2 linked regions of the Sus scrofa genome follow. The main gene of each other region encodes a partner of the protein of the gene in region 2 in a complex. Links are inferred from orthologs where the notes say so. Each region holds a gene or a part of one and is shown on either strand. Other genes may lie near its edges.

What was found.
Region 1: EXOSC2 (region 2) and EXOSC1 share a complex: the UniProt entries of both Homo sapiens proteins name them as parts of the RNA exosome core complex. The link is inferred for Sus scrofa from reciprocal best matches to the Homo sapiens genes EXOSC2 and EXOSC1.

What each region holds. Positions count from the first base shown.
Region 1 is NC_010456.5:108,836,820-108,839,992, forward strand, and holds part of EXOSC1 (exosome complex component CSL4), read right to left. Parts: intron 2,714-3,173; coding exon 2,625-2,713; intron 1,484-2,624; coding exon 1,450-1,483; intron 669-1,449; coding exon 618-668; intron 485-617; coding exon 400-484; intron 1-399. UniProt on the Homo sapiens protein: Non-catalytic component of the RNA exosome complex which has 3'->5' exoribonuclease activity and participates in a multitude of cellular RNA processing and degradation events.
Region 2 is NC_010443.5:270,747,104-270,751,606, forward strand, and holds the start of EXOSC2 (exosome complex component RRP4), read left to right. Parts: upstream 1-1,430; 5' UTR 1,431-1,460; coding exon 1,461-1,582; intron 1,583-3,296; coding exon 3,297-3,398; intron 3,399-4,503. UniProt on the Homo sapiens protein: Non-catalytic component of the RNA exosome complex which has 3'->5' exoribonuclease activity and participates in a multitude of cellular RNA processing and degradation events.

The sequences.
Region 1 (3,173 bases), on a different chromosome or scaffold from region 2:
TCTTTTGGGGGGGGGCCCACACCCGAGGCATATGGAGGTTCCCAGGGTAGGGGTCCAATTGGAGCTACAGCTGCTGGCCTACACCACAGCCACATCAACGCCAGATCCGAGCCACATTTGCGACCTACACCACAGAGCATGGCAACGCCAGATCTTTAGCCCACTGAGCGAGGCCAGGGATTGAACCTGTAACCTCATGGTTCCTAGTCGGATTCATTTCCGCTGTACCACCCCCGGAGACTCCAGAGGAGGAATAATTCTGATCTCAGTAGTAAGTCCCTACACTCACATTATGTCCCAGATAATTAAAAAACAAGGGAAACAAGGGAAAACAACGGATGAACCCCAAAGCCTAGCTCCCAGGGAAAGGGAAGCACGTGGAGGTGTGGACAAACTCACCTGATTCACTGTGGGCTACCACCACTCCCAGCTCGTTTTCGGCAGTCGTCAGGAGGTAGTGGGACTGCGCGTCACCTAGAGAGATCTAGTCACGTCACACTGGTAAAGGAGAATAAAGGCTTCTATAAGTCTGCCCTCCCAGAGCCACCTGAGTGGTTTCCCTACTTCCATTTCTTCTTTTGACAAAAGACCAGAAATCTGCAGAAAATAAAGGATACGACTTTGGCCAATACGATGTCCCCTGGGCGGAAACTCTTATAAATTTCAACCTGTGAAAAAAAGAACCGGAGCGTTAAGGGAAAGCTCCCAGTCAGGTCTACATGACACTGTCAACCAACCCCTCTGGCAGAGCCACTTTCTTTCCAATCCCCAAGGGTTTGAGTCAATCAACAAATTTGAGTGCTTCTGTGGCATCATCACATAAAGATTTTGAACTCAGTAACCTGATCAGGAATCTGACCTGGACACAAGGTACTACAGTTGCTCTGACAGGGTCCAGGGTTAAGTCTGAGCAGTGAATAAAGACCTGGCTTAAGGCAAAGAGTAAGCCAGAGCCCTTCTGGTCAACGAAGTGAAAAAAAAAAAAAAAAAAAAAAACATGAAGAGGAAAGGGACAGTAAGGTGAATTCCACTTTCCAATAGGGAACACCTTGAAATTCCTTGGACTCGGAGTTGGCGTCGTGGCTTAGTGGTTAACAAATCTGACTAGGAACCATGAGGATGCGGGTTCGATCCCTGGCCTTGCTCAGTGGGTTAAGGATCTGGCATTGCCGTGAGCTGTGGTGGAGGTCGTAGACGCGGCTCGGATCCCGTGTTGCTGTGGCTCTGGCGTAGGCATGAGGCTACAGCTCCGATTAGACCCTTAGCCTGGGAACCTCTATATGCTGTGGGAGCGGCCTAAGAAATGGCAAAAAGACAAAATAAATAAATAAATAAAATAAAATTCCCTGGACTCTACGTTCCCACAGATTTTGAAACCCATTGTAATAACTTAAAAGAAACTGAAATTCTTAATGCCTGGGGGGGTGGGGGGAAGAATCAACCAACAACCTTGTCTTTTTCAGTAGCTCGGACATCTTCTTTCCTATTAAAAAAAAAATTAAAAGAAAGATTAATTACTTGCAAGAAAGAATTATCCTGCAACTTCTAGCTATAAGAGCAGAGAGACCAAATCTAACTGGGACCCAGCTGCCACCCAGAGGAGGAGATCGAGGTATCCTCAGTCCTCACCCGGAGAAAACCACATTTCCCATTCTTGGACCATATAGTGCAGCTACAGCAAAGCGAATCAACTTTGGCAGAAAGGGCTAAGGAACTTTGTTGCCTTAGGAGAGCTTGAACCAAAGCACCACAAAACCACACAGAACCCAAGGGTGGAAAGAGCCTTGGATGTTAAATTATCTAGCTCCCAGGAACTGTTAGTCCCGTCTCAAAGAACTCATAGGAAAACAAAATATAGCATTGCATTCATTAACCTTTTTATTGTCTTATAATCCTTGGGTTTAATCTATATTAAATTGAAGAAAAAAAGGTACTTCCTAAAATTTTTTCTACTTTGATAGGAATCATCCCCACAAGGCTAATCCCCAGCTTAGCTCTATTCATTTTATATTTTTAACTAATTTATTTTTCGCCAAGCCCTTGGCCTGTGGAAGTTCCTGGGGTCAGGGATCAAACCCAAGCTGTAGCAGTGACAACTTGGGATCCTTAACCTGCTGTGCTACAGCAAAACTCCTCTTTTTTATGTTTCTATTTTTTGTTTTTCTTTCTTTTTAGAGCCACACCTATGGCATATGGAAATTCGTAGGTTGGGGGTTGAATTGGAGCTGCAGCTGCCAGCCTACACCACAGCCACAGCAACACCAGATCTGAGGCGAATCTGCGACCTATACCACAGCTCATGGTAATGCTGGATCCTTAACCCACTGAGCAAGGCCAGGGATCAAACCTGCATCCTCATGGATATTAGTCAGGTTCATTACCCTTGAGCCACAACGGGAACTCCTCTTTTTGTTTTATTTAAATACTATCTCGTTAATATTTCCTTTTTGTCCTAACACATACAACATTTTCTCTGGATACTACTTGGGGAGAACCAATGCACAGAGACGAGAGAAGTAGGCATGAATAAGGATTCTAATTGTTCTTAAAAATTCCGGTCTCCCATTCTATCTTAATCTCATTCCAAGTACTGCAGCTAATATGAAGACAAAAATACTTCTTACCGGATAGTTCCTCGAAAAGAGTTCTTAAGTGGTGTGGACCCCACATACAGAATGTGTACTTTGGCAAAGCGTGAATTGATGCTAGAGACCTGGAATAGAGAAAATTGCAGCATTAGGCATTCCAGTATTAGTAGCTGCCAGCTCAAGGAGGCATGATAAACTAGGAATTACCAGGATTTTAGTCCAAGGCAACTCTACTAAGTGTAGAATTTTTTGTTTTGTTTTGTTTTTTGCCTTTTTAGGGCCACAGTGGCAGCATATGGAGGGTCCCAGGCTAGGGGTCCAATCTGATCTGAAGCTGCAGGCCTACACTATAGCCACAGCAATGTCAGATCTGAGCCGTGTCTGCAACCTACATCACAGCTCATGGCAATGCCGGATCTTTAACCCCCTGAGTGAGGCCAGGGATGGAACCCGCAACCTCATGGTTCCTAGTTGGATGTTTCTGCACCACCATGATGGGAACTCCTAAGTACAGAAGTTAAGACAAATTAACTGCTATTTATTTATCCCTGGATAAGTGATTACAAAAAATGAAACAAGAGCCAC
Region 2 (4,503 bases):
ATATGCTGGTGGTATGGCCCTAAAAAGAAACAAACATAAAACATAATCCCAACGTTGTGATAGGCTCCATAAACCTAAGTGCCCTGAGAATGGGAGGGGTTAAGGTTAAGTCCATCCCTCCTTGAAACTGGATGTTGTCAAGACTATACCCTAGTTTTTGGTATAGATGCACTCCCAGGTCCAGCTGCCTAGTGGACTGAGCTCTGCTGGCTCAAAGGACAACACTGCCCTCTTCTGGCAGAGGCCAGGCTCAGCAGATGAACCCTTAAACTTTCTTGGCTCTAGTCCATTCCTCCAGGCAAGGAAGAGGGCAAGTATCTGGCCTGCCCCTTTACTGATGACCTGTGGGGCCCTAGAATTTATTTCATTGACTGCCTCCCAGGGTTGGCTTTCTTGACAGATGTAGTTGTGAGCCATGCTTAGGTGAAAAAAATGCTGTCCTTTTGGAGGTGTATTTATCTATTGGTCTGATGGACTTTCAGAGGCAGCAGACCTGATTTACCAAGCTTAGCGTGTGGTACTGATGTGAGTTATTTCCCTTAATCCTCTTTAGAGTCCCTTGTATGAAGAATTATCATCTCCAGTTCCCTGAGGTCGAACTCTCTTGTGGATGCTTTAAACCATGCAAGGCAAGGGTGAGGGAGGGGCTGGTGGGAAGTGGGGAGAGGGATGGGGAAAATGCTTCTGACCCAGAGATAAAACCACATATCCACCTATCAGTTCACCACTGAACCCTCAGAACAGCTCCTGGTTCAATTCGCTGCATGAGTAAATATAAGCAAAGATTCTCGTATTAAATAGGCACTTGTCCTTCCTTCCAAATACACCCACCTGCCAAGGTCCGAATGTTTTCTTAGATGGTTTCTCGAATTTTCAAAAGAAATATTAGGGTTAATTAGCTCACTTAGGCAGAACGGAATCAGCACCTGAAGCATTGTTTGGGGGTACAGGTGGTGGTTATTCCTGAAGCAGCAGACACGAGGCGGAAGTAATGCAGAATACAGAGGCTACTAGTAACGGTTCCCAAAGGGGCTCAGATAGTGTTTTCTGTAGATCCCATTGCCTGAGCAATCTCATACCTCCCTCACCCAAAAATCAGATTTTAGCAGCTTAGAGGTGGGAGGAAACGCAAAGGTCCATTTCTCAATTATCTCTAACCCTGGAAAACAGTAAGTGGCATGATGATTACAAGAGGGTTTTGGCAAAAAGTCAAATGCCAGACAACCTGAGATTGTACCATTCGACAAGTGCAGCCTCGCCAATAGTAAAGATGGCAACTCGGCTCCTTCCTTCCCTTCGCATTTACCTAATGGTTGCCAATAGCCAACATGGCCGCGAGTCCGTGAGTTTCCATTGGTGGCTGCTCTGAGGCCCCGCCCCGCGAGCGAAGGCAGAGAGTTGCTGAGAAGGACGGTAAGCCTTCGGGTTGGGCTGCGCCTGCGCAAGTTATTGGCGCCAAGATGGCGATGGAGATGAGGCTTCCTGTCGCTCGCAAGCCTCTTAGCGAGAGCCTGGGGCGCGAGACTAAGAAGCACCTGGTGGTGCCGGGGGACACGATCACCACGGACACAGGCTTCATGCGGTACGTGGGGTCGTGGGGGACTCTGGGCTATAGGAGCGGCCGCACTGCTCTGCACGTGGCTTGCTGGCCGAAACCTGGGCCCTCCGTTCTCTTTCCCCTACGCCCTCGCGGTACCCAGGGCACATCTGCCGACCATCCTAGTCGCCTCGTTTTCGAAGCCTCGGGCTTATTGCTCCCTGCCTTGTGTGTGTCCCCGTCTGCTTTGCCCCAGCCCGCCGACACCCTCCTCTCCTGATCTCCGTGACTCTTCATCGCTCTGCCTGAGACCCAAATTCTGGGCCTTCCTCGTTGGGAAAACTGGGGAGGGCTAGGGGCCGGGGCCTCTTAACAGTTTTCGACTGAGAGGGACGGTGGGCGTTTTTGACATGTGCGCCTTCTCCCTCAGCATCATCTCTTAGCCAGGTGCATGGTTTTGGAACTAGTCATGGTTTGGGTTTAGAGCATGCAGGTATGTTGAGTTACATGCACCCAAATGTACAGCTTTGAATCTGAGGGCAGGCTCTTGAGTTGGACAGCTGGGGTTCCTGACCTCTCCCACGTCAGTTTCCTCATCCCTAAAATAGTGATATTAACTATTTAACAGGGTAGTGAGGATTAAATGAGGTGACGATTAAGGAAAGAAGCAAAACTCACCATTGTATCACTGTCATAGATTAACACTCGTGGATGCTCAGCCTGTTTCCCCCTTTGGGGAAAAGTGCTTGTACAAATAGGAGAGGTACAGCATTGATACATTCGTTGCCCTTTAGCCTCTTAGTTTGGGGTTATTGGATCCCAGGAAATCTTACGAGTCAGTCCTTCATTTGCTCATTGTGTATGTACATCATGTGTGGTTAGGGCACAGCACTGAACAGAGGGGAAATCTCTGTCCTGGTGGAGTTTACGTTCTCACTGGAAGAGACATAATAAGCGATAAGCACAGCAAACGCATAAGTGATTCAGAATATTTGGTGGTAAATGCAGTAGAGAAAATAAACAGTCGAGCAAGGTAAGCAGCATAGGTGGGATCGTGGCAGCAGCAGGGTGGGCGACATGAGAAACGGGATGGTGACGAGGGACAGGTGGAGAAAGTGACCTTTGGGAAGACTTGAGTCAGACAAGGAAGTGGTCCATGTATCCCTATTAAAGAAGGAATGTTTTAGGAAGCATGGCACAAAAATCTGGCTTTCAGGCAGGAGGAGGCTGTTAAGTTTGAGGAACACATTGTTTTTTGTTTGTTTGTTTTTTAAACTTTATTATTTTTTTATTTTATTTATTTATTTACTTATTTTGCTATTTCTTTGGGCTGTTCCTGCGGCACATGGAGATTCCCAGGCTAGGGGTCGAATCGGAGCTGTAGCCACCAGCCTACGCCAGAGCCACAGCAACGCAGGATCTGAGCCGCGTCTGCAACCTACACCACAGCTCACGGCAACGCTGGGTCTTTAACCCACTGAGCAAGGGCAGGGACGGAACCCACAACCTCATGGTTCCTAGTCGGATTCGTCAACCACGGGAACTCCTGTTCTTTGTTTTTAGGGCCGCACCCGAGGCTTTTGGAAGTTCCCAGGCTAGAGGCTGAATTGGAGCTACAGCTGCCGGCCTACGCCGCAGCAATGCCAGATCTGAGCTGTGTGTGCGACCTACACCACAGCTCACAGCAACGCCAGGTCTTTAACCCACTGATTGAGGCCAGGGATTGAACCCTGTCCTTTGTGTCTTCCTGTTGCCACAGGGGCCATGGGACCTATATGGGGGAAGAGAAGCTCATCGCGTCTGTGGCTGGCTCGGTGGAGAGAGTAAACAAGCTGATCTGTGTAAAAGCTTTGAAAACCAGGTGAGAACAAAAGGTGTGTATTGTGGCGTCAGAATTGCACAGCCAGGTCCTTTCTGCCACAGCATACCCCCTCCGTCCCCCATCCCTGCCTGCCCCATCATTCTGTAGGTCTGTGATTTGGAGCACGTGACTGAAGGAGGGGGATGGGTGACCACAGGTAGGTTTGGGCTTCAGAGGTTTCCCTACGTTACCTGACCTCCCCAAGCTTTGGTTTCCTCCTCTGCAAAATGAGACGTAGCATGACCTACCTTGTAGGATTTGCCCTGGAATGCACTGGAACAGTGCATGCAAAGTACTCACACAGAGCCTCCTACTCACACAGAGCCTCCTAGAAGGGCTCAGTTAAGGTAGCCCAGGAATATAAGCTAGTGGGGCTGGAACAGAGGGAGCAGGCGGGGTGGGGGATGGCAGGAGTGGTAGGAGCCTGCGGCCTGTGAAAATTCCCCAGGGCTGGGATTGAACCTGCACCACAGCGGCGACCTGAGCTGCTGCAGTGACAATGCCAGATCCTTAACCTACTGCGCCACCAGGGAACTCAACACGGTAAGCATTTTTGACTTGTACTTTGTGAAATCTAGGAAGCCACTGGAGGAGGTAGGGCAGAGGAGGGATCTGGTCTGACTTCTGTTTAGATGAAATCACTCTGGCTGCTGTGGGAGGACGGGGCAGGGGTAGGGCACTGCTGACCTAGACTAAGGTGATGGCAGTAGGAGTGGGCAGAAGTGGCCACGGTGGCATGTATTTTGTGCTCTGAGTGTTTTCATCATGAGAAAGTGTTGGATTTTGTATTCTTGGGATTTTCTGTACTAGAAGACCATGTCTGTGAGAAAAGAAAAGATAGTTTTATTTCTTCCTTTCCAATTTGGCTGCCTTTTATTTTCTGCCTGTATTTTAAAGGTAGAGGCGGTAGGCTCCATTGCTGGACTTGTTCTGCAACATGAGAGAAAGAGAGATTGAGACTGAGAAATATGAAGGGTTCCTTCAGGGATTCTGGCTTGAGCAGGTGGAGTTGCTATTTCCTGAGATGGTGACAACCAGGAGCGGATCCGTTTGCTGTGGGGGAGGGAGGGGGGCTGCTGGAAAGCTTTGTCTTAGGCGTGTTTTG